Linked DNA regions of Lonchura striata. The protein of the gene in region 1 purifies or fractionates together with the protein of each later gene. This does not show direct contact. Links are inferred from orthologs where the notes say so. Each region holds a gene or a part of one and is shown in the gene's direction. Other genes may lie near its edges. The genes, in order: ARID1B, BCL7A, SS18 and SMARCD2.

The links.
Region 2: the proteins of ARID1B (region 1) and BCL7A purify together in Homo sapiens (affinity purification with mass spectrometry; 4 studies listed by BioGRID and IntAct, counting the BioPlex papers as one, with this or other methods). This does not show direct contact. The link is inferred for Lonchura striata from reciprocal best matches to the Homo sapiens genes ARID1B and BCL7A.
Region 3: the proteins of ARID1B (region 1) and SS18 purify together in Homo sapiens (affinity purification with mass spectrometry; 4 studies listed by BioGRID and IntAct, counting the BioPlex papers as one, with this or other methods). This does not show direct contact. The link is inferred for Lonchura striata from reciprocal best matches to the Homo sapiens genes ARID1B and SS18.
Region 4: the proteins of ARID1B (region 1) and SMARCD2 purify together in Homo sapiens (affinity purification with mass spectrometry; 5 studies listed by BioGRID and IntAct, with this or other methods). This does not show direct contact. The link is inferred for Lonchura striata from reciprocal best matches to the Homo sapiens genes ARID1B and SMARCD2.

What each region holds. Positions count from the first base shown.
Region 1 is NC_134605.1:54,590,805-54,598,585, reverse strand, and holds the start of ARID1B (AT-rich interactive domain-containing protein 1B), read left to right. Parts: upstream 1-4,762; 5' UTR 4,763-4,835; coding exon 4,836-6,587; intron 6,588-7,781. UniProt on the Homo sapiens protein: Involved in transcriptional activation and repression of select genes by chromatin remodeling (alteration of DNA-nucleosome topology).
Region 2 is NC_134620.1:12,285,022-12,292,651, reverse strand, and holds the start of BCL7A (B-cell CLL/lymphoma 7 protein family member A), read left to right. Parts: upstream 1-4,624; 5' UTR 4,625-4,760; coding exon 4,761-4,852; intron 4,853-7,630.
Region 3 is NC_134603.1:46,049,093-46,055,991, forward strand, and holds the start of SS18 (protein SSXT), read left to right. Parts: upstream 1-3,889; 5' UTR 3,890-4,016; coding exon 4,017-4,085; intron 4,086-6,899. UniProt on the Homo sapiens protein: Appears to function synergistically with RBM14 as a transcriptional coactivator. Isoform 1 and isoform 2 function in nuclear receptor coactivation. Isoform 1 and isoform 2 function in general transcriptional coactivation.
Region 4 is NC_134627.1:1,869,171-1,877,138, forward strand, and holds the start of SMARCD2 (SWI/SNF-related matrix-associated actin-dependent regulator of chromatin subfamily D member 2), read left to right. Parts: upstream 1-4,955; 5' UTR 4,956-4,981; coding exon 4,982-5,008; intron 5,009-7,968. UniProt on the Homo sapiens protein: Involved in transcriptional activation and repression of select genes by chromatin remodeling (alteration of DNA-nucleosome topology).

The sequences.
Region 1 (7,781 bases):
AGATTTGTAAAAGGCAGGAGAATGGGAAAGAAACTTGGCAGAGAACTCTATGATTACTGTTATACTGATTCTTGTTTAACTTTTCTAATTTATAAAAAATGTGATCATAAATTATTAATTCAAAGGAAGGCCAGCCTTTTCCTAAATTTCTCCAAAATGCAATGATGTTCTCAAACATTGGCACAGGATCCAGAAATATTAGAGTAACTCAGTTTAAAGGCTTAGATTTCACTGGTAGGTGAACCCTGAAATCAACAATCCTTCTATTACTGCCAAATGCAAGATTTTGTTTTGGCTTAGACAATTGGTTGGACCCCTATCTCACCAAAACAGAGACACAAGAGCTGTTTTTTCACAGAGGCCTCAGTCCACAGAAGCACAGGACTTAAGCACAGAAGCACAGGGCTTAAGTTTAAGGAAGCAAGTGATCTTACTGACTTCAATGGATGATTCGCATTTGTAAAATTGAGGCATTTAAGCAGTCTATTCAAGTGATCTAACTCTAGCGGGTTGCATCTTCATAATAAAATAATGTATGACATTTTCGAGATGGTGATGGTGATGTTGTAAAGTCCTTTTGTTCACACATTGCCAGAAGAAATGGATTAAATTGCCCAGGATTAGTAGCTGCTAAAGATTGGATTTTAATTAATTGGTACAATGTGTCACTCTCTGCGTGTTTTAGGCCATGATCTGTTGGCATAAACCACATTTTTTTCAAAGTTCACTTTGTCCAGCTAAAATAAAATTTTTACACTTACCTTACAGGCTTTACACCTAACAGAATCTGGCTTATCAGCTGGACATCTATGGCACTAGTTTATTTTTTACATTTGTGACTGAAATGTAAATATTACATAATAAAGAAAACAACCCTGTGTTATATTTATATGTTGACCACATAAGGGATCTTTTAAAGCAAAATTCCATTACTATAGTTCTAAATGCCAGGCTAAAACAACCCTGAGCTGGCTGCCTACTTTTCTGTGATCTGATTTATGCCTTATTGAAATAAATTAAAAGATTTGCACTGACTTCAGAATGATTTTGATTGGATGTTTAACTAGTAATAGAAGTGATAATTTAATAAAAGTCCCCATACTTCTCTCTTTTTTTCTCATTAAATCAAATGCAAATGTAAAAGAAGGAAATTGAGAATTACAGTGAATTTGACAACAGTTTCATTAAATTGTGCAGTGTATTTAACCATAAAGCACAACAAGATCCCAATGAAAAGCTCCTTCTTTTGTACACAGAGATTTTTCAGATTCCTGTGCACACCAATGTCAAATCCAACAGGGTCTTGAAACTCAGATTGGATTTTTACCAAAAAAATTTAACATATTTTTCCCAATACCTCTAACATAACATCTCAGAGATATTACAATATTGGTTTGTTTTCCGTCTCTCTCTTCAGTGTTACTCTTTGTATGACTTGGAAGGCCAAACAGAAGGATGGCTGCTGTACTGAGGGGAAAAGCAGTAACTTTCATGGGCTTGAGATACAGACAGGTGGCCTAGGGTGTCTGTATAAATGCTGTAGCCAATGGTGTAAACAAATTACCAACAGCAAGTTTAGAAAATTATGTTGTTTATTTTGATGAGGGATCCTAGAGCACCACAGTTTATAATTTATCAAGAAAAATAAAGAGAAATAAATTACACTTGGACAACACTGGTTTATAGAAAATAATCAAATGGAAGGAACAATGAAAATAAAACTAAAGTTGAAACTGCGCACTTGCGATATCAAATATCAATGCAATCACTTTGCAGCAGATAATATGCACGGTAATTAAAGCTTTTTTACATTATATTATAATAAATTCATAATTCATGCATACAATGAGAGCTTTTGGAAAGAAGCATTTGAATTTAACAAACACTACCACTCATCATCTGAGCAAAGATGGCAAAAGGAATTTCAACATTATTTGCGCTCTAGAAAATTGAACCATCGTTGTTGCTTTGTGTTGTGCTTCCCTTGCACAGACTGCAGTGCCTTCTGTCTGCTTTAGGGTGTGGCATCTGCCATTGGGGAGGAAAAACTGGCATGTGTTGCCTTTTATAGCAGACTGATTTCATTGTGCTGAGGGCCTCAATTTTATAGCCTCTTAGTTCCAATCTTGTAGCCGAGTTGCTGAAACAAATGGGAGGAAAAGGAGTTAGTGGTACGAACTCTTCAGTTTAAAGCCTCGTGCTTTTTTTGTCCTTTTCCCAGAGAAAACATTTCAAAGTAAATCTGTGTTAAACTTTTGCGGGTTATTTTCCCGATTGGAAAGAGTTGCGGAGTGTGTCAGGAAGTACTGCGATCTGCAGCCCGGGCACTATCAGCACATCTTAGCAGATCATCGATACACGTATTTTTGCTCAAATAGAAATGTCTCAAAGTATAAGTGTTTAATTGATTTTATATTTTATGTTAGAGTACACATGTAAAGAAATACACACAAGGAGAAGTCTATATTTTTATTTGCATATGAAAGACTTTTAAAATCAACTTAGGTGGTTTAATGTGTATAATTAGCGTGCATTTGAATATAGAAAAGAAGAAAATCCAGGAGATAATGTCAAAAAGGCTCACTAACAAAGATGTAGTATTCTCTTGGCAAAAGCAGATGAATGATTTGGCATGAATTCATCTTACGGTTCTGTTATTCTCTCTCCTACAAAGATGATATATCCCTTTCTAGCAGTTTGCATAGAATTGCAATTTGTTGTTGTTACAGACTGTAATGACCCTTGGGTATGCACCTGATTCCCCCCGCTAGAATTACTCACCATTTTTTTTTTTCCCACTCTGTGTTTATATATGTGTAGCCATACAACATTTTTGCACTTGCAAAGGATACAAAAAAATCCAAAAAACCACAAAACCACCAACCAACAAAAAAAAACCAAACCCCACAACTGTAAAACAGAAGTATTAGCAAGATGTACTTCTCGAGCACTGAGACTTTTCAAAACTAACTCCCTAATGCAAATCATAATATTTTTGACTTTTCAGACAGAACTAAAATTAATAGACGCTGGAATCACACTGCTCATACATTTATCAATAATCTTTACATGTAACTCAACATTAGAGCATGAAGCTTCTGCTCCTTTAATATTTTCACAGTGAATTCAAAAAAGCCTACCTACTCATGACAGCATCTTTCTTGATATGCTTTTTTCTCTACCATTATGATTGTATCTCCTATTTATCCATTTTGAAATTTGAAAACGTGCTTAACTTTAACAGACCGTATAAATATATTAATTTAAAACATCGTGGTTTAGACCCTTGCTGTTTTGAAAACGTTCGCTAATATCCCAGTTTGCTGTATTCATAGCCAAGTATTTAATCTCCCAAATGCTTTCATTAGTTCAACGTAATGTGTGACTATTACCTTTTGTTATACTAAGGTATCCCTTGTATTAAGATAGTTATAAAAAAACCTTCAAACCATTCTAGTTCAAAAATGTAGGTCAGCAGCAGCTTTCCATTTGGAGCAAGTTACTCAGATTATATATTTTGGGTTTTGTGTTACTACGTTTACATGAGTGTCTTGTGCATACTGGAAATTATATTGTTTGGGGAATCAATTATGAGACTGAAAATGTCTCTGGCTCTTTGATCATCTCTTGTTGAACTGCAAATAAGTACACAGAACATATTGAAAACGGCCCTATATATAAAAGCATCATCAGTGCAAATGACCGTTAGAATTTGGAGACAGCTGGACAATGTGGACAACTGCAAAGATGCTACCACTGCAGAATTGTAGGTTAAATGTTATAACCGTCTATACATACAAATATAAATCTTCAAGGGGCGGGTGGCTTGTGGGGGGGGAATCCAAAACAAGTCTAATTTCTCCGTCACACGGACAAACGTGTCCCTGCCCTCGGAACAGGAGGCGGCTGCTGAGCACGGAACACGGGGCTGGGGGGCAGCGTGCGGCCCCCCAAAGTTTGACCGATCCATCTTCTCCGGCACAGCTGGAGCGCATGGCGGCTCCTCGCCTCCCTCCCGCCGAACCGGCCCGCGCGGGGCAGCGCCGCCGGCGGCACCCTCGGCCCCGCAGCACCGGGGACAGTCCCGCTCCCCGCCCCGCCCAGCGGCGCCCGTCGGGGCCCGCCTCGACCCCTCGCTCGGAGCAGCTCCCGCGGGTTCGGTGCTCCGCGCAGGCCGCGACCCCCGGCGCGCACACGGGCGGGACCCCGCTGGGAGCGGGGGGACCCGCGAGGGCCGCGCCCCCCATCCCGCCGCGCTGCCGGGAGAGCAGGGAGGGGAGCGGGCGCCCGATCGAGTCCAGCGTGGAGTCCAGTCCGCGTTTTGCGGGTGCGCGGGAGCGATCGGGGCGGAGGGGGCGATGGCTGCCGGCGCTGGCTCGCTCGCTCGCTCATGCCATGCTGGGCCAGCGCGGCTCCGGCAGACGTGTGTTTACCCATATCCGGGTTAGGGAGGAAAGGAGGAGAAAAAAAAAAGTTTCATTTAAACCTGAACAAAAAACTTTCAACGTGAAATCACACAGCGGGAACGGGCACGGACCGTAAGGCGTTCTTACCATTTCTAACCTCAACCACGGACTCGGGGAGGGAAATCGCTGTAACTCGGTGCGTGCGGAGCGGTCCGCAGGGGATACTCTGGGCTCAGTCAAGTCCCTGCCCCGGCCGCTTCCCCTTCTGCCCCTCTCCTCTCCTTCCCCCCACCCCTCTGCTCACCCCCCATTTTTCAGGGTGGGAGTAGATTTTTTTTTTGTTTGTTTAGTTTTTCAGTTTTGGGGTTTTTTAAATTTTTCTGTAGTTACTATTATCTGCACCAATTTCTCCGGACTCGCAATGTTGCGATGATCATGGCCGCGCAAGTCGCAGCGGCTCCGGCGAGTGCGAACAACAGCAAGGGCAAAGCCCCGAGCCTGCCGAGCGGCCTGGGCCCAGAGCGAGGCCCGGGGGGGGCCGGGGCTCCCGGGCCGGGCCCCGCACTGGGGGTCGGCGAGGGGAGTCCGGCCGGCAGCAACAGCGTGAATAATTTAGATCACCATCTCCACCACCACCACCGCGGCGAGCCGCCGAACATGGCCAATAACGCGGCTCCCGCCGCTGCCGCCGGTAACAACAACAACGCCAGCGGCGGCGGTGGCGGCTCCTCCTCGGAGCCGGCTCTGAAGGAAGGTGGAAGCTCCTCGGAGTTATCTTCTTCGTCTTCTTCCTCCTCCTCCTCCTCCTCCTCCAACCCGGGCTCGGCTATGGAGACGGGGCTGCTCCCCAACCACAAGCTGAAGAGCGTCGGAGGCGATCACCCCGCCGCGCCGCCCCACCACCACCATGCCCACCACCCGCATCACCATGCCCACCACCACCATGCCCACCACCCGCACCACCACCACCATGCACTACAGCAGCAGCTAAATCAATTCCCGCCGCCGCCGCCGCAGCAGCCGCCGCCTCAGCACCATCCCGTGCAGAATAACAACAGCAGCCTCGGCGGCGGCGGCGGCGGCAGCGGCAGCAACAACAACGGCGGTGGCGGTGGCGGCGCTGCTCAGCCCAGTGCAGACATGGAGCAGCAGCAACATGGAGGAAAAGACAGTGTTTTGGGCGCTCAGGCCGAGCCCACCCAGCAGCCGCAGCAAATGCTGAATAAAGGCGCCGACGAGGAGGAGATGCCCGGCAAGATGGGCGAGCCCATCGGCGGCCGCTACGACCACCCCGGCTTGGGACCCCTGGGCGGACAGCAGCAGCCCCAGCAGCCGCCCCCGAGCGCTGGGAGCGGCGGCGGCGGCCTCGGCGGCGGCGGCGGGAGCGGGGGAGGCGGCGGCGGCCCCTCCGCGGTGGGTGTCTCGGAGTTCAATAGCTATTATGGCAACCCTGCCCCTGCCCCTGCCAGCAGCGCTACGGCGAGCCGCGCCGGGCCTTGCTTTGATCAACATGGCGGACAACAAAGCCCTGGGATGGGGATAATGCACCCCACGGCGGCCCCCAACAGCATGGACCCCCTGCAGAACTCCCACGAAGGGTACCCCAACAGCCAGTACAACCACTACCCGGGCTACGGCCGCGGCCCCGGCGGCGGCGGCGCGGGCGGCGGCGGCGGCGCGGGAGCCGTGGCGGCGGCGGCGGCGGCCGCTGGGGCAGGCGGCGGCGGCTACGGGGGCTCCGCGGCGGGATACGGGGTGCTGAGCTCCCCGAGGCAGCCCGGCGGCGGCATGATGATGGGCCCCGGCGGCGGAGCCGGCCTCGGCAAGGCTGGTGCCGGCGCGGCGGCGGCGGCCGGCGGCTTTGCGCGGTTCTCCGGGCAGAACCAGCACCCGTCCGGGGCCACCCCTACCCTGAACCAGCTGCTCACGTCCCCCAGCCCCATGATGCGGAGCTACGGCAGCAGCTACCCCGACTACAGCAGCCCCAGCGCCCCGCCGCAACCCCAGCCCCAGGCAGCGGCGGCCGCCCCGGGAAGCCAGCAGGCAGCGGCGGGCATGGGCATGGGCAAGGACATGGGCGCCCAGTACGGAGCGGCGAACCCGGCCTGGGCAGCGGCTCAACAAAGGAACCACCCGGCGATGAGCCCCGGGAACACCGGGCAGGCCATCAGCAGGACCCAGGTAACTCCCCGCGCTCGGTTAATGACGGTTCGTGTCTGTGTCGCTCGTGTCGGGGTCTTAGTTTCTTTATAATTCACTTTCTTTCTCTCCCCCACCCCCTTTTTTTTGTATTTTATTTTTTTTTCTCTTTACCCCCCCCTTCCCCCCTCCCCCCCCCCCCCCCCCCGTTCTCTTCTGGGCCACTTTTGCCCCTCGCTGCCTCCGTAGCGAGGGTGAGCTGTGCACAATGCGTTGGGGCTGGAGGCACCGGAGTGTGGCTTTCGCTGCCGAAATTAGGTTGTTCTCAGACCCAATTAATATTTTCTCCCACCACTTTGAAACAGTGTCGGAGAGACGCAGGGCCCGGAGGACAAACAGCTCGGGACGGACGGGGGCGGGGGATTGGATTTTGTAACCGGAGTGCCGGACCGGGGGGCTCCCGGGGGATAACGTCCATTATCTTTCACGGGGCCTTTTTTTCCTTCTCTCTTTAACCCGTTGCCTTTTTTTTTTTTTTTTTTTTTTTTTTTTTTTTTTTTTCGATCTCCGAGCAGAACGAGTTGCGCCGTTGCGCGCTCTCAGCAAATTAGTTTGTCACTGATTGGAGTTACCGCAGTGAGATCCACGTAACGCGGCCGCGCTCCTTTCCCTGTGGGAAGAGCGCGCGCGCGCGTGTGTGCGCGCGTGTGCGCCCGGTCCGCGCGGGTCGTCCCGGCCCGGTGACCTGCAGGGGACTCGCCCGCCGGCAGGAGCGTGCCCGGTGCGCGGACGCGTAATTGCCTTTCACTTCTCCGCAAACACACGCGGAAATTAAAAAAAAAAAAAAAAAAAAAAAAGAAAAAAGGAGAAAGGGGAAAAAAAAAAAAAAAAGAGGGAAAAGTCCTTGGCGTAAGCGATGGGGCGCGGGCACCGGCGCAGGCCGCCGCCCCCGCTCCCTCCCGCACTCCTCTCCCCCAGCCCCGGTAACTCCGGCGATCGATGGATGGATGGATCCGATCGATAGGCAGGCGCGATGATCGCGGGGCGGCGGGCGCGGCGTAGCGCCTTTCCGGGGCGGCGCGGCGCGGCGCGGCGCGGCAGGAATGCCGGCTGCCGGGCGCGACCCTTGGAGGAGCGTCCGGGTCTCCTCCGCCCGCCAGGTTGGGAATTTGAATTGTGGAGGTAAACTGGCTGCAACCGTCTCCCGACAGCTGCCTCCGAGTTGACATCTAATCT
Region 2 (7,630 bases), on another chromosome or scaffold:
CACTGTTCCAGAGTGGAGACACAGCTGTGCCCAAGGTGCCACTAACAGCTGTAGGGTCACCGAGTGCCTGTCACAAGAGAGGAAATCCAAACTGACTGTGTGTGTGTGTAACCCCCATCTTTACTTGTTATTGTCATGTCAGCAGGTGTGTGACTGTTGGCCATTCCCATCCTCAGCTGCTGAATGAAGCTTCCTCCTGGGATGTGGTCATGGCACCAACACATGCACAGTTCAGGGACATTGGCATTCATGGGATTGGAAACTGGCCCAATGTTCTTAAAAATAAAACATGTAACATCTGCCTTGTCTTGATCTTTAGATTGAAGACATGATAAACGAAGTAAAATTCAGCAAGTATGCAGATACTGGAGAAGAAGTGACAAAAATCAATTTAGATGATTTTATCAAACTTTATATAAATCATCGACCTGCACTTGGCTTGTCAATGAAAACCATACAACGAGCATTTCAGGTTCTTGGCTATGATAACAAGAAGGGAGACAAAGTTATCGACAGAGGAGACTTCCTATCACTGCTTCAGTGCAGAGGTGAGCTATTTTGTTTCTAATATCAGTTTTATGCTTGCTAGTTCTGCCTGCAATTTCAGAACTTTTTCCCTGCAGCAAGAAATTATCCTGGAATGAGAACCTGGTAACCAGGGCAGGCGTGAGGAGCCACCTGCCTTCAGATTTTAAATTGAATAATCACTTGTCTTGTCCCAGCTGTGCTTCTTTTACTGCTCTGGAAATCTCTGCTGGCCTGAGGTATCTCAGCTGTTAAATGATAAGTATGGATCTTGGCAAAATGTATCCTTCTCCCAGTGTGCCCTTATCTGAATTGCTGTTTTCTCTTCTAGTCACACAGGTTCTGGAAAAGTAGTATAAAATGGATAAAAGGGACACAAGAAAGGAGGGATGAAATTGGTCCTAGGCTGCACCCAGTGTGAAAGACTGAAAAGATGGGATGATTCAGTTGAGCTGAATCAGGGAGAACACCATAAACGTGGGTGTTAATTTGTTTGTGGCCAGTGCCATAGAGTGCTAATAACAAACTTCTATTGTCTTACTTCTGGTGTAAAAGTGTAGCCGAGCATTAAAACAGGTAAAGGGAAATGCTGATTTACTCAGTACATCACTTGGCAAGACTCCTTGCCACAAAGATCCTTGGAAACCACGGATTCAACCAGTGTGAGAAAGGTTAGCTATTTATACAGATGGTGTGAACATCCATAAATAGGTACATCAGATAGAACAGTTTCATAACAGATCTATAACCTCATGCTCCAGGGCGTGAGCCAACCACTAACTGGGAACAAGTGCTGTGTCCATGTTATTTCAAGATACTAAATTAAGACTTTTCTCCACCTTTCTCTTCCTCTGCATGAAAATGGCTACATGGACTGTGGTCTCTGCCAGGAATTCTCCAGTGGGAAGAGAAGCTCAAGCCCCTGCTACTACAGTGTTGCTTAAAGAGCAGTCTGCATCATAATTTCTTCTTTTGATTGACATTTTCCCCCAAAATGCTATAGAGAAGACAATTTTCCTTAGGATCAACATTTTCCTGCATTGGAATCATGTGTTTCAGTTGGCACTGTATATGTCTCTATCTCAGAGAAGCCAGGTCCTCTTTTGAACTGTCCTGTTTAGTTTAATTGCAGTTGCTTTTGAGTTTTTGTGCTATTGACCCCATAACCCAACGGTGGTGGTGCTCCATTTTGTACAGGGGAGCAGATGACAGAGGACGAGCTGGCTGAGTGTCTGACCACCCTGCTGGGCAGGAGACCCAGGAAAGAAAGATCTGAACTGGACACCTGCGATCCCACAGGTACAGGATTAGCATTCCACACAGCAGAGAAGCAGGACTGTTTAATTCCCAAATGGAATAATTTAAATTTCAAACCCATTTACCCTGTTAGGCCAAGAGCTGTCAAAGCTGCTCAGATGGGATTGCAAAAATAGTCACAGAGCTACAGACTGTCCTTCATCCACGCAGCAATTGCACGGGTGTATCTAAAAATAAATGGACAATGAACTATAACTAGGGCCTGACAAGATTACATTGCTGTTTATCTGCTGGCTGGAACTGAAATTAGAAACACACAGGGAAATCCCAGGGCTGGTTTCACCCAGGCCGCAGTGCCCATTGTAACAGAGCTGTTGGTAACGAGAGCATTTGTCTGCAATTTATGTCCCAGTCCACACCAGTCTGGAACAGCAAATTATAGCATTGATTTGAGCCAAGAGGCTGAATTTAATTGCCCATTGTAATTGGAACTGCATTTTTGTACAATTCATGTCCCAGTCCCCACCAGTTTGGAACAGAATCTGTTTAGGGTCACTGGCAATGGGCGCCATGCAGCAAAGGTGCTGCTCCTGAAGGGAACTTTGAAACTCTGAAATCCCTGGATCCCTCAGGATCCTAAATCACATTAAATTGACCAAGTGTTAAAGTTGTCCCATGACTCGTCTGAGGCAGGGACCTGCTGCAAGGTGAGACACACAGATTTGACAGGCTTAATTCCTGATATAAACACATAAAGTATCAAGCTAGTAAACTGTCACTTTGTCATGATCTCTTTGTACATCTTTAAAAACATTTCATTCACTTATTGCTGCTTATAAATTTTACTGGAGAGCAATTTTGACATGGCTTTTGTGTGTCTTCTGATGCTGTTATTGCTCTCCAGGTGCAGCAGCTTTGATTGAAGAAGAAATTCCAGCAGAAATCACAGCAGAGATATTTGTTGCAGACATTCTTGGCTTACCTATTGCTGAACCAGAAAAAAAGAACACAAGGAAAAAGAAGAATCTTTGATCTACAAAGGCACAGAATCTAGCGACCACTAGATTTTCTGTTTATTCCTACTTTCCAGGATCCTCTCCTCAAATATCTGCAAAATTTATGGCTTGTGTTTATTGCAAAGTAAAGGTCACATAGTTAAATTTCAGTCAAACTCTAGAGTAAGTCCCCAGTTTGGGCCATGCCACAAACCTGTAATTTCACACCTATATAGGGAAACATTGAATGGCTGGAAAGAATGAAGCAGGTGGCCACTCCATCCTTGGCTGGAACATTCCCAGAAGTCATTTCAGGTGGGTTTATGCCAGATGCAGTCTATTTTCATTACGTTAAGACAGTATTCATTTGTGAAACCTGACAGCAAAAGAGCAACGTAAGAGTATTGTATTGATTAAATACATTGATAAATGCTTTGACAGGTTAGAATGGATTTGTAATTATAAATCCAATGGACCTTGGTAAAGAAATAAATGCTGTGGTACACATTAAAACCACGCTTCTCTTTTGGCCTTTAAACTGACTTTTTCTTTCTGAAAGTAGAGATTCCAATTAGCAGTGTAATACCAATGGGACGGCATTACTCTGTGTGTGTATAAACAGCATAATGAGACTGATACAAGTTGCTGTAGAAAGATCAGTGAAGTGCTGTTGAACAGCTTCCTTCTTTACATCATCCTTGGCATCAATTTGAATAATAATGTAGGCCCTTAAGAAGCGTTCCTTTCAGAAGCAATGTTTTTTAAACAGAGATCGCTGTTGTGTACTCAGAGCATCTGTGATTGTACAATTAGCAACAACAGCAAGGTGTGCATTAGGGAGAAGTTAATGAAGGAGTCCAGCAGTACCACACCAGAGCTCGCAGGTCTGTGACAAATTTCCTGCAGAGCATCACCTCCCATGTAACTCATTTAGCCTTTATGCTCATGTAATTCCATGGATTTCTGTCGGAGCTGAGCCTCCACTGCTCAAAAGCAGCCCAATTCAATGGATATTGCTGGAATTAGTTAAAGCAGCTGAGAAACTTTATAACCACTGGGGAAACAAACCTAAAATCTGCTGATTATGGATTTATGCTTCGTGTAAAACAGGGGACTTCATCACACATACCCATGTTCAAGGTCTGTCATGGCAACTGGTGCAAGGATAGGATGGATGTTTGTCACTGCCCTGTACAAAAATAGGTATTATCTCTATGTAAAGTGTTTTGAGGTTTGTAAAAACCCTGGATTTTAGGACTGGATTTTTCTTTGTGGTAAAATGTAACTGAGCTCTTGATGCTGCTAGACTGCGTTGGATTATCACAGAATCACGAGAACCAATTTGGTTGGAAAAGATCTGTGGGATCCAACCCTTGACGGGTCACCACCTTGTCAACTAAACCATAGCACCAAGTGCCACATCCAGTCTTTCTCTAAAGGATTACACCGCCTCCCTGGGCAGCTCCTGCTGACCCTTTAGGGTGGAGGCGAGCTGAAATCGGCAAAACTTTTTAGTTCTGGGGTAACTTACGGCCTGAGCTGGGTGGGAGTGGGGAAAGAACGTTGTCTTGTGTTCTCTCCAGCGAACGCTCGAGGCAAACCAGCGACGGGAACTCCGGAAGCGCGCGGGGCGGGCGGCCGCCTCCCGGTTCTCCCCCGCGGGGGCTCCTTCCCGCCCGGTGGCTCCTCCGCAGGGCCGCGCGGGGCTCGGAGCCCGCTCCGCTCCCTCACGGCCCCGCCGCTCTTCCCGCCGCCCGCCGTCCCCTCACGGCGCCCGCCCCGCCCCTCCCCGCCGGCCGCGCGCGTGCGCGGAGCGCGGGCCCCGCCGGGCGGGCGGGCGGAGCCGAGCGGAGCCGCCGAGCGCAGCCGTGCCGAGCCCCGCGCAGCCCCGGCATTGTGCGGGCGGGCGCCCCGACACACGGACCGAGCCGCCGGCCGCGCCGAGCGCCGCGTTCCCCGCCGAGCCCGCCGCCCCCCAGCAGCATGTCGGGCCGGTCGGTGCGGGCCGAGACCCGGAGCCGGGCGAAGGATGATATCAAGCGGGTGATGGCGGCCATCGAGAAAGTGCGCAAATGGTGAGCGGGCCGCGCCGCGCCGGGACCCCGCGCCCGCGTCCCCCGCGCCCCGCGCCGGCCCCGCGCGGCTCCGGGGCTCGCCGGCGGCCGCGGGGGGCGGGGAGCCGGCGGCACCCAGCAGCCATTTCGCTCCGGCGAGTCACATGAAGGCGGCGGCGGCGTGTGAGGGCGAGAGGCGGCTCCATTGTGCGGCCGAGCCCCCTCCCCGCCGCCCCCGCCGCTCCCCGCGGACCCCGGCCCGCCGCCCCTCGCCGCGGGGCCCGGGCCGGGCGCCTCGGGCATGGGCGGGCGGCGGGGTCGGGCCGGGCGCCTCCCGCCGCCGGCCCCTACAAAGGGCCCGAGGAGCGGGCCCGGGGTGGCTCCGCCGCCCGCTCTTCTGGGTGGAAATTGTGCTCGGAGAAGTGTTCTGGAAAAAAAGAAAACACGTTAAGAATACCCCTCTGAAGCTCCCGAGAGTTTATTTTTTGTCGTTGCCTGTTTGTGGATTGATTTCACCTCCCGAGTTCCCGGGGTTTGTGCGTAAAAGCGCAGCAAACCCGAGCGCGATCGTCTCCCACTGACTCTACGGGAGAGAGCGCGAACTGCCCCTGGAACCTCTCTTAAATCATCAAATTATAGGTTATACCCCGTGTGAAGTAAGTCCCTTTTGTTAGGCCTTCAGCGCGTTTTGGCATTTCCCCGCTTTTGTCTTTTTTCCCCCTGCTTTTGTTAGAAAAACCCACACGAGGTGTTTAAACAATACAGTGCAGCGGTCGCGCCGTGCTCTGCATGGTCGGTCCGGGGATTTGGGATGGCATAAAGAGCAGTGCCGCTGTGACTCAAGAGTGAATCTTTCTTCCAGCAAGTTGCCTGACTGTTCAGCAGTCTCTGTGCATGTATCTTAAAATACTTCCTTTAAACGTTTGGAATCCACGAGGAAATTTCCTTGCATTATTGTTACTGTGCATCATTCAGCTGGTTTGCAGGTTTGAAATCAAGGGGACACTTCTATTGTCCTCCTCACCTAACGCTTTGTTTTCGTTAAAAAAAGAGCCAAAGATAGAGTTGAACGTGTTCGTATTAGAGTGAAATGGTTTGTTAAGTTTTAAATGGCTTTGAGCACACGAATGGGCCCGTTGGCGTGAGCCGGACAAAGAATCGGGACCGGGACGTGTGTCCAGGAGCACCGGGCACGGGACGGGGATTTCAGAGAATCCAGCCTTTGTGTAGGGAGCCGGAGCAGCTCGGGTGGTTTCAGGAACTCTCTTCTACTCGGGTTTGTTTTTAAGTGCAGTTTGCTGACTGCTGGGCCGGCTTTGGAAGGTCAGAACAATGTGCAGCGGTGTGACAGGACTTTTGTTCCAGCTGGAGCGTGGTTGGATGTGTGGGACTGTTCTGTCTGTAGGTATTTCATTCATGAGCTCTGCACGCTCCCTTTGAATCCTGGTTTGTGGAATTCAGAGAGGAGTAGAGACAGAAGCTTGGCCATTCAACAAAATACCTAATTTATTTATTTTTTTCTTGGCAAGGACTCTCTGCCATCATGCCAGTTGCTATGGCTCTTTCTGTAAAACAGAAATCTTGTGGTATAAATAGATTTCTCTACATTTTAACCTTCACGATAGACAATTGCTGTAGAGGGTTCCTGTAAGTCATTCAGTGTTTCTGTTGATTATTGTCAGAAGTATCAATATGACTTTTTGTGCGTGCACCTCACAAGTATTTACATAAAGCAAATTTCTTATTTTTAAAGGAATCATAATTTGCAGTTGAATCTCATGGTTACCCCCCCTCCACCTGCAGTCAAATACAGCGGGAAATTAGCTAGAGAGATTCTGTGTTTTGTGGTTTCAGTGTTTTGAGAAGACTTGGCTTGTTAAATTGAACTTTCCACACTAGCAATTCCTGCATCTTCAGAAGAGCCACATCGGCAATTTCCAAGTGTGCAGTTTCATTTGCATAATAGGAGCAATTTGTTGCCATCCACAGCTCTTCTGTGGAAATGCAGCCACTGAAAATTAAAATACCTTGCGTCCAGCATTTCCTAGAAGAGAGTTTTGTGAGACTTGTGTGCTCAGAGCAGTGCGTGCCAGGGATGGGCAGGGAGACAGACGGGGCTGGGAACTCATCCGAGTGGAGGATGGCTTTATCCAAGGCATCATCCACCTGTGCTTGGTGCTCCCGAATCCCTGTGCTGCCACAGGGATGTGAACGTGCCTGCTGGAGGGCAGCTTCCATCAGGGCAGACTTTGTTCCTCAGAAAATCAGTGTTCCTGGACAGCCAGCACTTGGATGCAGCTCCTCTGTCTTCCTGTCTGCTCACAGAGCACGTGGCACTTCTGGTTATTGCTGGAACTTAGTAGTAAACAGTGAAGTTGTTATGTTTTTATCGTGAGATTACTGTAACCTTATCTCCTTTGTTTAAACCACGCTCATGAATGAGCATCTGTTTTGGAAAACACGCAGCACGTGGCTTACAGAATACATGGTTGCCTTGTGTTTGTGTGGCAGAAATGTTAAATTTCCACAGTAAGTGAACAATTCTACCTTTCTTTACCAGTACTTAAAATTCTTCTGTCAGTCTATTTTAAAAAATCCTCTGAGATTACTTTGTCTCAATTAATGGTACAGGATTGTTTTTTTGGCTTTAAAAGTTGATGGGTACATGTAGATTCCAAGTGGGCTCTCAAGAAGAGAGGGACAAAAACTATTGTGCCCTCAACCAGTACTAGAAAAATACTGAAGACACTCTTGTTTTTTGTCAAAGTCTGATTTATTAAATGGGGGGAAATACAGACA
Region 3 (6,899 bases), on another chromosome or scaffold:
AAAAATTGCATTTTTTCCCTTTTGCCATCTTCCTTTTTCATCTACTGAAAGACCCTTCTACTTTAGGATCTGCTCTGTTACCTGATGGTATTGTTGATGTTACAAAAAACCTAGATAAACACCTCCTTTATTTTTTAAATTTCAAGATGAAAAAGTAGTCTACTCTGAAAAAGAGGCTTAAATTCACCGCTATCCTATCTGTTAGCAGTAGATCCTGAGCGATCATCCATCCTTACTATAGCAAAGAAAATGAGTGTGTTGCTGTCAGTTGGAGTGAGTACAGAAAATTAGGTGCTCTCACCAAAAAAGATTTGTCTAAGAAACACCTGGCTCATAGGAAGAATTCTTAACTTTCATATCAAGACCTGCAGTCATTAAAGTCTTTAAGCAAGTGGTGCTACCATAAAATTCTTTGCTGTCCCTTTCTTACATATATAGCTTCATAAATACTACATTTAAATTTTTTAAATTTAAAATGTACATTTGAGAATGTTAATGAATCAGCATTCTCTATTTTCCTTCTTGTGGATGGAAATGTCCATGACTCTGAGGAAATTCAGATAACACAAGTGGCAGACAACAAGTTGTTACTAAGAAATATGAGTTGGAAACATAGGAAAAAAGTCTTCCGGAAAAGGACTGATCCTCCTCTGTCTGAATTTTTCTCTCTCCAAAAAATATGACTTACTCAAATGCACACCAACAAAAAAGAAAGACTACACTGATAAAAGTCGGAATAGAGGTGGAAATAAGATCTCATTGAAACATGTTTGCATTTGAAACTCTTGATGATGACTGAGATTTATTCATCTAAATTACAATTAAATAATGTTAAGGTTGTGAGTAACTCACAAGAGCAAAGAAATGTGCAATTAAAGGGAAAATATACCATATGTCCTTTGATATCTAGACATATTGCAGTGCATTAAGGAAGTCATAAAAGAGACACCCTGTTGTGGTTATGTGTTCTGAGACATGTGGCACATTTCCATTGTAGCTATCTATTTCCCTGCTTGTATGCATCTGTGCCATTATTTAAATGTTGATTTTGAATGTGAATTTCTCTTTGCATGGTAATAAAACCCAGAGCTTCAGACTTGCTTTTTTCAATGTTTGTTTAGATTTGCTGCTATTTATGAATGTGGAAGTCCAAAATGTTAAACACATGAATGAAAAAATATCACAACTGGCAAAAAAAAAAAAAAAAAGAATTTAATTTAATCCTCAGACAAAATGAGTTAAAGGAGATAGTTTTAACAACAATGAATTAATAATCTTATATCTTTCCTCTAGAAACTGACAAAGTTGTATTTCAAACACTGCTCTCCTGTATTTTGCATGGAACAAGGAATATACTAAAAAAAAAAAATCACATAGTTAGTTTGGACTATCTGGGGAAATAAAATGAGAAATTACTGCTTTAGTTTTAAGGTTCCTCACCTGTGGCCTCCCACAAGATTATTTTTTTTTTCCCTCAACTCAGAGCCAACCTGAAAATGTGGAAGAATAAAATGTAACATTTAGATCCTAGAAGCAGTGTTTATGTGGCTGGCATCTAACCCATCATCTCAAACATTGTGATCATCAAGGCATCACAGTGCAAAATACTTTATACACAGGGGTCGGGTAACCAGAGTAGGACATCCAGATGTCACACCTGTGAAAAAGGGAAAACATTTTGTGGCAATACCAGTGTTCAGTATATTTCATAGGAATGTGTTTCCTATGCCTGCAGCCTTGGGACACTTTCTGACACCTCACCAGTTCTTCAGGGACAAGTATATGTTAAAAAAAACCAATCCTCATAATTCTATTACTAACTGGGTAGGAGATGGTTGGTTCTGATTTGGCCATGGCCAAATCAGAAAACCCTACAAATGAAGAATGAAGAATTCTTCATTTGTAGAGTTCTTTGCTGCTGTTTGTAGTAACTAAAAAAGTACCAATTTGAACACAGGTACTACAACAGTTACTCTCTGAGTTCACTCCAAGACCATGTAATAATAACCATAGATCACCATGAAGCGTATCAACTTTAGAAAAATATGGTTTCTTCAAATCTTCCTCTTTTATTTTTGGTTTCCTGCAAGTATTGTAGTAGTGATGATGATGATGGCGGTGATGATAAAGTGTGTAACAGACAGAAAAAATGGACTAAAATAGTCCAGAAAATGGACCACAGTGGTGAGTGAAATGGTTACAAACACAAAGTAAAGGACATGCTGGCATTGATCCATCTTAGCATAACCTACAGAGCAAGCACTGAGCCACAGATATTTCCTAGAGAAAAGCAAACCAGATTAGCATCCCATCAACTCTGGGTCCTGTATAATCTGAAGAGGCGGGGCAGTAGCGTCATTCTGGTAACACAGAGCATCAGGTCCAGGGGGCAAGCCCTTGGGGAGTGGGATACTGTAGGAATGCAATAGTTTGGAGCCAGCAAGCCTGGGGGAGAAAGCAGGGGGTGATGGGCAGTCGCAGCATATCCTGAGACAGCAGAGCCAGCATGAGTAATCGTCATGGGGCTGGGGACAGGAGCCAGCATAAATCCAGTGTGAGGAGAGAGCATGCCAGTTGGGAAGCAGCTGCACAGCCATGGATGCCACTGACAAACGTGTGCTGTGACCAAAAGGCCTGGCTTTTTTAGCCAGGGCCTTCCGCCAGCAACTGCTGAGAACCAGAGCAAGCAAGCAAGGCTCAAGATTCACGTCTTGTGGCGTGGGCTGTGGTATCCTGTCACCGGGCAGGCAGTGTCCTGCCAGCCACAGAAGCACACACACCTCGGCCAGCTGCAAGAGCAGCCACCACTTGGCCAAAGGCCAACTCTGTATCCTAGCCTGTAGTGTGGCACTGGAATACACACAGGCTGGGCAAAGGATGTGCCCAGGAACAAGAAGGTTTAAAATACTTTGGTTGGGGACCTTCATGTCCCTGTACCAACTGCTGGTTGCAACTCTTCATTCTTCCAAAATCTGTCTTAGACTTTGCAGACTTGTCCACAAGGCTCTCTGGCAACACTAAGATTCCCTCCAGTGGCTGCACTGAAACAAATCAAGGCTGGTTTCAGGGCTTCCAGCGTTTGTAATTTTATGTTTAATGCTGCTTCTTCTTGCTCTGTTTCACTTTTAGGGCAGGAAACCTGCAGCCGCCCAACTCATCGAGGAAAGCCGTCCCAAGCCCCTGGGCGGCTTGTTCCAGTGCTCTGCTACCGTCCACGTAAAAAAGCCCTTCCTCATGTCGAAGTGGAAATTTCTTGTGTTCTAGTTTATGGCCATCGCTCCATGTCCTGTCGCTGGGCACCACTCTCTTGACACCCTCCTTTGAGACGTGTACATGGATTAATGAATCGTCTCTTCTCTAGACTAACCGGGTCAGCTCCCGCAGTCTCTCCTCATGAGATGCTCCAGACCCCACAACAGGTGCCCCCGCACTCCCAGCGCCCACCTCCCGCATCTCCCGTCCCGTCCCGTCCCGCTCCACCCCGCGCTGCGCCAGAGGGGGCTGCCCGGGTGCAACCAATGCGGCGCTGGGCAGAGGGGGGAGTAGAGACTGCCTCCCGGCACAGCCCTAGCGTGTCCCCTGCAACGTGCGCGCCACAACATCGCCACTCCCCCCAGCCGACCGTACCACTTCCCTGCTATGAGGCTCTTCGGGCAGGAACGTACCAATGCGGCAGAGGGAAAGGGGAAGCTAAGAAAGGCGCGTGACAAGGCTGTGCGTGGAGATCACTTTCGAAGCGGCTCAGGATCGGCTCTCGGTCCAGTTGTTCTGGCCGGGCCGTGCGGGGCAGCCACGGTGTCATTGAGGTGCCCCCTCGCCAAGGAGAAAAGCAGGGAGGAGCCGCCGGTCTTCCTTAACCCCTTCCCCCGGCGGGATGGGGATGGGCCGTCCCACCGGGCGCGCGCCCCCGCCCCACCGCGCGCCGCGTTCTTCCCGGATCGCCGCCGCTGCTGGGTCCGCGGGGCGCGCGCGCGAACGGGCGGGAGCGGCCGCGGAGGCTCCGGCGCCCACCAGACATGTCGGTGGCGTTCGCGGCCCCGAGGCAGCGGGGCAAGGGCGAGATCACGCCGGCCGCCATCCAGAAGGTGAGGACGGCGCGAAGAGCAGGGCCCGGCCCGGCCCGGGCGGCCCCGGGGGCTGCAGCTGCCGCTTCCTGCCGCGCGGGGAACGGGGGCGGCGGCGGCTCAGGCCCGCAGCGCCGAGGCCCCGGCGGGGAAGGGAGGCGGCCGGGCCGCACTCCCTGTGCCCGGGGCTCGGCCCCTGTCTCTGCACTTGGACACTTGTTGGAGGGTCCCGGGGCCGGCGAGAGGAGGCGGGCGGTGTCCTGGGTGTTTGCAGCCCTCGTTTTTCTTCCTTCGCTTGGGCTGCCCCGATCGCCCCGCTGGACTGAATTTACCCGAGAGGACTCGGCCTGGAAGCGGAGAGTCGAGTAAATCCTTCCTGCGGGAGGGCTCTGACAGTGGGACCGCGGCCGGTTTGTTCCAGACCCTCTGCCCGACTGGGCGCTGCGGAGTAGGAGGCGGCTTCAGTTCCCAAACTTGGTCGACCTGGTAGTTAAGGCTGCCTCCCAGTAAGCCTTAGGTGTGATTGAAGAAGAATATCGCGTTCGGAGCCAGTGACAGCCGCTCCGGACGACTCCACCTAAGCTTGTGTGGGAGGGAGCAAGTTAACTCTAAAGCCATCAAAGAAACGCGCATACAGGATTAATAATAATCCACAGCAGCAGCAAAGGAGCGTGTTCAAGTTCACTGGTAACTGTGTGGTATTTAGAAACTTAACTCAAGACTTGTACCGTCATTGGTGTGGGTGGCCGTGGATCAAACAGATTTCAGATTGGTACCATCCCCTTATGTAGAGGAGTCCTTTAAGTAGATAGATCTAACATCCGATTTAGTAAAGAATTAGAATCTCTACAAAGCAGGTGCTGCAGCGATATGGACCTCAGAGAAGACCTTGGAGCTGTAAGGGAAACATCCAGGGTACTGAGGGGGAAGTCAGTGCTTGGGAATTGTAGATAAAAAATACATATCCACTGGGTGGAAAGCTGCACAGAGGTAGTCAGTAGAGACTTCAGGATGCTGAGGTGCCATGGAGAATACAGATGATAAAGTTTTCCTGGGTCTGTAGTCAAACCATTAGTTCAGTGGTGGTGTGCTGGCAAAACCCCAGTGTTAAAGTTGAAGAATTTTTGTAGTACCTAAGTTGTCAGAAGCCCTGAAGGTATCTTCATCCAGCTGGAAACTAAATTCTCTTTTGATGGTAGATGTTTATAATTATTACAATTTTCTGTCAGCAAACACTAATTTAAACTTCTAAAAAGCAGTTGACTGTAGCCCTACCTAGGATACAGTTATAATCCTTTTTGTTCCCTTTCCTTTTAGCCCCTAGCATTCCTGCCCCCCTCCAGTCCTTTGCTTCTCAAGAGGTGTGTCTTACATGGCTGTAATGAAGAATGCAACCATCTAATGGGCAGTTTCAAGGTCTACTTGTCTGCTAAGCCTTAAGAATCTGCTGTTTCCCTCAGAACTGTGGGAGATATTTTGAGGAGGACCTTGATTCACAGCTTCCTTTGCAAGTCCTCTATTAGACTTTGGTATCAATCGTATTATCTAATTTTTTCCTTTTTTTCCTGAAATGATGAAAATGGCCACTGTGTTTCTTACAAAGCTTGAAGTTAGTACACGTGCTGTGTGCCAATGTTGCAGTGTGTGATCCTCTTCAGAGAGTGCAGTTGTAGCTTTGCCTGGTTTCTGAGGCTCACAAAGTAGCTGAAAATACTGCAGTTATGTCTGTGTTTAGGGCTTAATGAATATGTTTCCAGATCCAACAGTTTCAGGCAAAATACTTGTACTGGGATCATTCTAGTCCATTCTGGTGAATTACGGTTTAAAGTTCAAGAAAACTTGGCTGGTTCTTATGTGGATAGAAGTCCTGAGTGAACTGCATAAGGTGTTTGACTCCATACTCTTTTCATAGTAGACATGGATTAAGTGGGGAAAAAACTGACACTACTTTTTTTGTTGTTTTTTCCCTCTCTGTAGAATTTGTTAGGGGAATAAAGGTTGTGGTATGATGTTGTGCTTTCCTTGTGGAAGGATGAGTCTACTCATGGCTGTTTTCAACCATGTTTGGAAGAAGGAGAGAATGTGTAGGATGTTTTAAGGTTCTGCTTGTTTTGTGATATTCAGAAGCTGGGTAAAGGGATCTAAACTAGCTTTCCAGTCAGAGAAAGCAAAGGAGTAAATTGATGCAAAAATTTACATTTGGCATTAAATTTTCCATTTCTATAAGCTGACTTGGATAACTTGGCTGATGGCTCAGATTAGCCATGGTTCTGTTGAATCTTGCCTGATCAGAGTGCAGAGCATGAGCTGGAAAGATGAGTGTGGGTTACATTCACTCTAGGAGACTGGGTCGTTTTTTTCCCTGTTTAGAGAGCTTGGAACACTTTGTGAACTTTTTGTAGAAAGTTGTGAAATTGGCCATTTTCCATGATTTTTTTAGAACTACTCATTTTTGGTAAGAAAATTAATTAGTAAGTATTCATTTTCATGGACACTGCTGAAGTATGTTAGATTTATTGTGTCCATTGTCCTGGTTCTGGCCACCGCAGGATTAATTCTTGCAATAGCCAGGGAGGGTCTCATGGCGTGGATCTGGAGGTTATTCTGTAGCACCTCACTTAATTTTCTGGGGATGGGGGAAGGGGTCATGTGTTGTGGTGTCATCAGGTATTGTTGGGGGCTGTATGTGATGAGCACTTGAATGTGAATAATTTGCCCTCTTGTACTCTCCATTAGTAGTATTTTTGCTATTGTTATTGTTTGCTTCTTATTTCAGTGGTATTTCCAGTAAATTTTTGCTATCTCAACTGGTGATCTTAACCTTTTGTACCTCCA
Region 4 (7,968 bases), on another chromosome or scaffold:
TTCCACCCCAAGGTATGGAGTGGCCATGGGCACAGATTTAAATGAAAAATATGCACAGGATGTTCCTGGTTTTCCATCCAGAGGTGAAGATTCCCTGCTCCCTGCAGACAGCCAGGAGCAAGCACCTTCCCAGGCAAGCACTGAGCCTCACCTAGGCTGATTAACAGGGTCTGGTTAATTGGGTTTCAGCCAAATGATGGAGGAGAAGGAAGAGTAATCACCTTTAACCACCACAGTGCAGATCCTTTAGTCAGCATCCTCTGGGTTTATCCTGAGCTGGCACCTGCTGGCTGCTGGGAAAGTTCCTCAATTCCAGAGGAATTCCAGCAAAGCCATTCATTGCTGGGGTCTCCAAGTCTTGGAAAATGTCTCAGGAGGAGGGGACTGAAACCAGCACCTGAAGAAGGGAGAGGATGGAGCCTGGTGTTCCTGGGAGCTCCAGGGGCTGCAGGGAGGGAAAAGGGGAAGGAGGCTTTACTAAAACGTCTGATGAGCCCTGGAGGTGGAGTGGAGCAGGGAGGTGCTGCAGGCAGCACATCAAAAACACCCTGCTGAGGACTGGGAATACTTCCAGAGGTGTTTTCCTGCTGGGAAAATGGAGCTGTGGTTCCTTGAGAGCATTTGCCCCGGGCAGGGGAAGCTCCTGCTGGCAGCAGCACTTTGGGATGGAGCAGTTCCCACTCCAGCAGGGTGAGGAACACTGAGGAGAGAGGGAAAAAGGGGGAAAGAGCAACTTCCTGAAGGTCATTCAGCCAGGCAGGGATGGGAGGAGGACCTGATGTCCTGAGGTGTCCCCAGGCCTTGCGACTTTCCATGGGCTCAGGTAAGACAACAGGAATAACAACAGAGCTGGAAAAGCAATAAAGCCCTAATCCTCACAATCCCTGCCTGATTTCCCTGCAATCCCATCCCTTCTGCATCCCAGAGGGATGGCTGGGACCTGCCTGGAGACAGAAATCAGGCTCAGCTCAAGCCTTGTCCTTGCCCACCTGTTTTCCAGTTTATTTTGAATTGGAAACATTGCCTCCATTTCAGTAAAAGCAAAAAATCCATGAGGAGAGGCTTCTCCAGTTCAGATTTTTTCTTACCTATGAGTGGGAAAAGGAGCTCCAGATCCTGGAAAATTGTTTTCCTATGGGAAAGAGTGCCCAGCACAGTCCTCTCTGAAGGAAGATGGAAAATCATCTCAGTGACTGAAGAGCAGAGCCCTGGGTGTCCCCCAGGGAATGAACACTTGTCCCCACTGCTGTCCCACAGAGCCACCAGGAACGAGACTGGGACAAATCCCACTGAGAGCTTGAGCCCTGTAAGGGGGAAAGGAGCCTTTTCCAACCTTTAATACTCAGGAATTCTGCTCGGGGGAGGGCCTTCAGTGACACCCACGGGGTGAGGAGGCTCAGCTGTCACCTGTGCCCTGTGCCTGGGGTCTTGTGGTGAAGCCACTGCAGGGGAACGTCACTGTCACTCCTCCTGCCCATCCTTGTCCCTGGACAAACAGGGACTAGGCAGGACACAGACTGCCTCAAAATCCTGGAAACCTCCCCAAAACCATGGGAACACTTGCAACTACACCTGCAGTGAGGGTGTGATGCCAGCCTGGGATAGACCCAGCACGTGAGGAATTCCTGGGCACGGGGCGGGCTCTGAGCATCTCTGAGTGCCCTGTGGCAGCGCCCAGAAATTCCAGCCTTTCCCGGGATTTCCCTGAGGGTTATCAGCGGCTCAGATCGCCCCCGGACAGGGTTTGGTTCCCTTTATTGAGGTGTCAGCCCTTCCCAAGGGTTTTGGTGGTGCTTCAAGCGCGCTGTGGGAGCGTCCAGGTGTGGCTATAGAGCAGGAGGGTTTGGAAACACAGCCCTGAAGCGCCGTTCAGAGGATCCCTGCCCGGATTTACGGGAATTTGGGGAATTTTGGGCATTTCGGGGATTTTGTTCCGACAGCGGAGCGCGACCCTCCAGCGCCCCCTGGCGGCCACGCCGCGGAACAGCCGCGACCCCCGGGAACACCGGGAATACCGGGAACACCGGGAACAACGGGAACACCGGGAATATGGGGAATATGGGGAATATCGGGAACACCGGGAATATGGGGAATACCGGGAACAGCGGGAATACCGGGAACACTGGGAACACCTGGAATACCGGGAATACTGGTAATATGGGGAATATGGGGAATACTGGGAATACCGGGAACACCGGGAACACCGGGAACACCGGGAATACCGGGAACACCAGGAACACTGGAACACCAAGACCACCGGGAATACCGGGAACACCGAGAACATTGAGAACACTGGGAACACCAGGAATACCGGGAACACTGAGAACATTGAGAACACCGGGAACACCAAGAACACCGGGACTGCTGAGAACACCGGGAACAGTGAAACACCAGGAACACGGAGAATACTGGGACCACTGGGATCACCAGGATCGCTGAGAACATCAGGAACACCGGGAACACCGGGAACACTGAGACACCCACGGCCTCCTGACTCCCGGGACCACCACAACCCCCGAGATCCCCACGACCCCGAGACATTCCAAACTCAGTGTGCGACTGTGAGCCCCGAGATCGCCGTGAGCCCCGAATCACTGAGAGCCCCAAATCACTGAGAGCCCCGAGATCACTGAGATCCCTGAGATCACTGAGCCCCGAATCACTGAGAGCCCCAAATCACTGAGAGCCCCAAATCGCCGAGAGCCCCGAGATCTCTGCGTTGTGAGCCCCACAGTCCCCGGGGCTGCTGAGAGCCCAGGGACGCCCCCGAGCCCCGAGATCCCCGGACCGCCGAGCTTCCCGCAGGTGCCGCGCTGCCCGCAGCCGCCCCAGGTGTGCGGGACCCCCGGCTCCTTCGCCCAGAGCCGAGCGCCGCCCGTCCCGCGGGACCCCCGTGCCCACATCTTGCACCGGCACACACGCGTGTGCAAACACGCGAGGCACCAACATAGAGCCCCCACGTTAGGTGTGCAAACAAACACCCCCGCACACCTGTGTCACACACACACACCTGTGTCACACACACATCTGTGTCACACACACACCTGTCACTCACACACCTGTGTCACACACACACCCATGTCATACCGACACCTGTGTCAGACCTACACCTGTCACACACACACCTGTGTCACACACACACCTGCGCCATACCTACACCTGTGTCACACAGAAACACCTGTGTCACACACACACCTGCGCCATACCTACACCTGTGTCACACAGAAACACCTGTGTCACACACACACACCTGTGTCACACACATATCTGTGTCACACACACACCTGTGTCACACACACACCTGTGTCACACACACACACCTGTCACACACACACACCTGTCACACACACACCTGTGTCACACAGAAACACCTGTGTCACACACACACACCTGTGTCACACACACACCTGTATCACTCACACACCTGTGTCACTCACAAACGCCTGTATCAATGCACACACACACCCCCACTCGTGATGAACCTGCACACCTTCTTGGGTTCATGCTACAGACACACGTGTGTTCATACACAGGTGCTCACACACACCTACACACACACACAGATGTTCACGCCTGCACACACACTCACGTGCACACACACACACACACAGGTGCACAGTCACATACACACAGGTGCACACACACACAGAGGTGCACACACACACACACAGCTTTTCACACACACACATGTTCACACACACACAGCTGTTCACACAAACAGCTGTTCAAACACAGGTGCACACACACACACACATACAGCTGTTCACACACAAACACAGAGCTGTTTACACACACACACAGCTGTTCACACACACACACACAGCTGTTCACACACACACATATACAGCTGTTCACACACACACAGGTGCACACACACACACACAGAGCTGTTCACACACACATACACAGCTGTTCACACACACACAGGTGCACACACACACACACACACACACACACACAGCTGTTCACACACACACACACACACACACAGAGGTGCACACAGAGCTGTTCTCACATACACACACACACAGGTGCACACACAGACACGCTGTTCTCACACGCACACACGCACACACACACACACACAGGTGCACACACAGACACGCTGTTCTCACACACACACACGCACACACACACACACACAGGTGCACACACAGACACGCTGTTCTCACACACACACACACACGCACGCGCACACACACACGCTGTTCTCTCTCACACACACACATACACGAACACACACACGCTGCTCTCTCACACACACACGCACACACGCGCATACACACACTGTTCTCTCACACGCACACACACACACGAACACGCACACGCACACACACACACGCTGTTCTCTCACACACACACACACACACATGAACACACACATACATACACGCTGTTCTCTCTCACACTCACACACACACACGAACACACACACACACACACACACGCTGTTCTCACTCACACTCACACTCACACACACACACGCTGTTCTCTCTCTCTCTCACACACACACACACACGCACACGCACACGCACACACAGGTGCCCACGCGCGTGCGTTACGCACGCACGCACGCTGACGTCACTCACGCACGCTTACGTCACTCACGCACGTCCCGCCCGGGGCTGGGGGTGGAGCCTGTGCCGGAGTGGGCGGAGCTCCCGGGTGCGCGCGCGGCACGGGGGCGGGACCGGGGCGGGGCCGGGGCTGTCCGGGGGGCGGGGCCTGAGGCGGCGGGCGCGGAGCCGTTCCCGGTCCCGGTCCCGGTCCTGGTCCTGTTCCCGGTCCGGCGCCGCCGCTCGGAGCCGCCGCCGGGGCCTCCCCGCCCCGTCCCGTCCGCTGCGGCCCCGCCATGGCCGGGCGCGGCGCCTTCCCGCTGAGCCCGCTGCCGCCGTCCGCCGCCCCGCCGGCCCCGGGGCCCGGCACCGCCCTGCTGCGCGGCCCCAGCCCCGCGCCCGCCGCCGCCCCGGGCTACCGCGCCATGGGCCCGGCCGCCGCGCAGTACCAGGTGAGAGCCCGGGGCGGCGGGAGGGCGGCGGGGCCCGGGCGGGCCGGCGGGGCCTTCCCGGGGCAGGCGGCGGGCCCGGCCGGCATCGCCCGGAGCGGGCCCGGCAGCCCCGGGGCGGCCGCTCTGCGCCGCCGTTAGCCGGGGCTCCTCCCTCGTCCCGGCTCACACTTTGCGCCCTCCCAGCCCGCGGGAAGTTGGGCCGGGCCCGGCCCCGGCCCCTCCGAGCTCCGGGCCGGGCCGGGCCGGGGTCGCTGCCGGGGCCCGGGCCGGTCCCTCCGCAGCCGTCCCGGCCCGGCCCCGCGCGGAGCCGCCGGGAGCGCGTTCGTGCCCTGGCAGAGGCAGCGCGTGGTGCGCGGATGTAACCTCGGAGTATCCTCGGAGTATCCTCGGAGTGTCCTCCGGAAGGACCGGGGCTTGCTTAGTGGTGGGGGAGGAGAGCGGGCGCTCGGTAGCGTTGGGGAAAGTAAACCCAAACAACCAGCAGCCCTCCAAAAGAAATTAAATCACTCGTTTTTCAGCCTGGCATCTTTTACGAGTAAATTCAGGAAGTAAGAACTGTGTTTACAAGCGCCTGGAGGGACAGGACCCAGGGAATGGCTCCCACTGCCATTGGGCAGGGATGGATGGGAGATTGGGAATTGGGAATTGTTCCCTGGCAGGGTGGGCAGGCCCTGGCACAGGGTGTCCAGAGCAGCTGTGGTGCCCCTGGATCCCTGGCAGTGCCCAAGGCCAGGCTGGACAGGGCTGGAGCAGCCTGGGACAGTGGGAGGTGTCCCTGCCATGGCAGGGGTGGATTTAAGGTCCCTTCCCACCCAAACCACTGCATATTTCTCTATTATTCCAGCAGTTAGAAGTATATCCTGACACACTTTCCTGCTCCCCCTTGCACACTTGGCTTCTCAGTTCACTCCCAAGTTTGTGCTGATTATTTCGGGAATGAGTTTTCAGATATAAAGCTCAGTTTTCGAGGCAGGCTGGAAATGGAGGCGCCCAGTTGTGCAACACATTCTCCTGGGCCGCCGCTGCCTCCTCCAGAGCTGTGCCTGATTTGCATGATTTAAAACTCAGGAAATAAACCAAGCGCAGGGAAATTCCGGCTCCTTAACACAGGAGAAGGAAACAACTTCCTCCTGCAGCCTTCAAAACGCCAGAAAATGGTGTTGGAAGCTGAGCTGGCCGGGTGTGAGCCGCTGGTAACTCGAGGCGGGAGCACTGCCTGACCTTCCGTGTGCAGGGTGCAAAATCCAGCTGGGAGGCTGGAGCCAGCTGGAGCAGCCGGGTAAACAGGCTGGCAGATGCTGCTTCCCCAGGCTGGGCTGGCAGCAGGTGTCGGGGGCAGGGGGCGATGGCCCCGCGGTGCTGTGCTGGCCCCGCGGTGATGTCCCCACACACACAGCGGGATCCGCCCCGGGGCTGGTGTTGAGTGGCCTCTCCCTGAGCCCGGGAGAGGATCCAGGCGGGTCTGCCCTTTGTTTTGCAATTCCCAGGCTGAGGAAAACAACCCCTCCCATCTCTGCCATCCCCCCAGGGCTTGGTTCTGTCCCAGTTTTAGGAAGAGCTGTGTTGTTTGGGCACCAGGAGACAGAAAAGGCCGAGGCCAGGCCAGTGAGGGCTTAGGAGCTCTAATCTCGGGATTATTAAACATATGTTCGTCCTTTGGACATCCTTGTGTGCCTGCTGGGGATTTCCTGGCAGCCCAGGCAGGGAGTCCAGGGGGCTCCTTTGGTGGGAGCTGATGTTTCTGGAGCAGCCAGGGGCCAGTGCCATGCCTGGAGCAGGAAGGAGAGGCCTTTTCCAGGAGCAGGAGCATCAGGCGTGGTAGGGGGTGTGGGCAGATCCCCCACCCTGATCCCTCTCCCCAGGATGCCCAGGCTGAGCCCCAGCAGCCAGGTTTCATGGAAGTTCAGTGGGAAGGAGCCTTCCTGCTTTTTCAGGTGCTGGCTTCAGGTGTAGGAGAGTTTTTCCCATGTTTTGGGATTAACACCGTGGCCTGGAGCAGCGTGAATCAGTGTGGGATGAGACCTTGGAATTCAGCGCTCTGGCCCTGCTGATGCTTCCCTGGTGCAGAATTAGGTCCCCATTAAATGGATTTTATTGGCACGTGTTGGGAAGACAGAGCCTGGATTCCCTGGCCAGGAGGCTGCTGCAGGCTGAGAACTCCCAAGCCTGGAAGCAGCTCTGTGATCCTGTCCCTGGGCAGATGGCAGTGGGAAGGGAAGTTGGGCTTCATGGAGAAATCCTTGGAGCAGCTGAAGAAGTGTGGAATGTTGTGCCACGTGAAAGTGGCCTGGAGAGGGTGCAGTGTGGGAGAAATCCACCCCTTGGGGAGCAGGGAGAACAGTGTTCCTGCTCATGCAGTGGTGGGGACTGGCTTGGAGGGGGCCAGGGGCCAGCAGCCAGGCCTAGAGCTGTTCCATAAGGCTGCTTGTGCTGGATAACCCCACCCTTCCCCAGGGAGAGGCTTTCCAAGTCAGGTTTCATCAGAGCCCGAGCCTGGAGCTGCTTCCAGCCTGATCCAAAGCAGATGGACACTGTCCTTTGGAGCAGGGGAGGAGGGCAGAGCAGAGCCCAAGCACGCTCTGCTGCTCCTGGGAAACGTGACAGGGAAGGGGGAACAGCAACACCTCCAGCCCTGCTGCTCCCTCTGCTTCCACAGCGCCTTCCCGGGAACCCTCCAGAAAGTTTGGCCCTGCAGGAACACCACGGGCAGGGTTTGTGCCAAGCCCATCTCCCCAGGAGGAGCCTGGGATTGAACAGAAATTCCCTTTGTTCCTTGTTCCTGCCCCTGTGGGATCTGAGTCCCTGTGACCTCTCCTTTCCCTGCCCTGGAACATTCAGGGCTCCAGCTGCAGGGCTGTGGACGGGCAGGTTTGTCCAGCCCAGACAGCTCTGCTGCTGCTGGAGACATTCCAGGATGTGTGCTGGGTCTGCTGGGGGCTGTGCCTGTGCTGTGCCCTTCT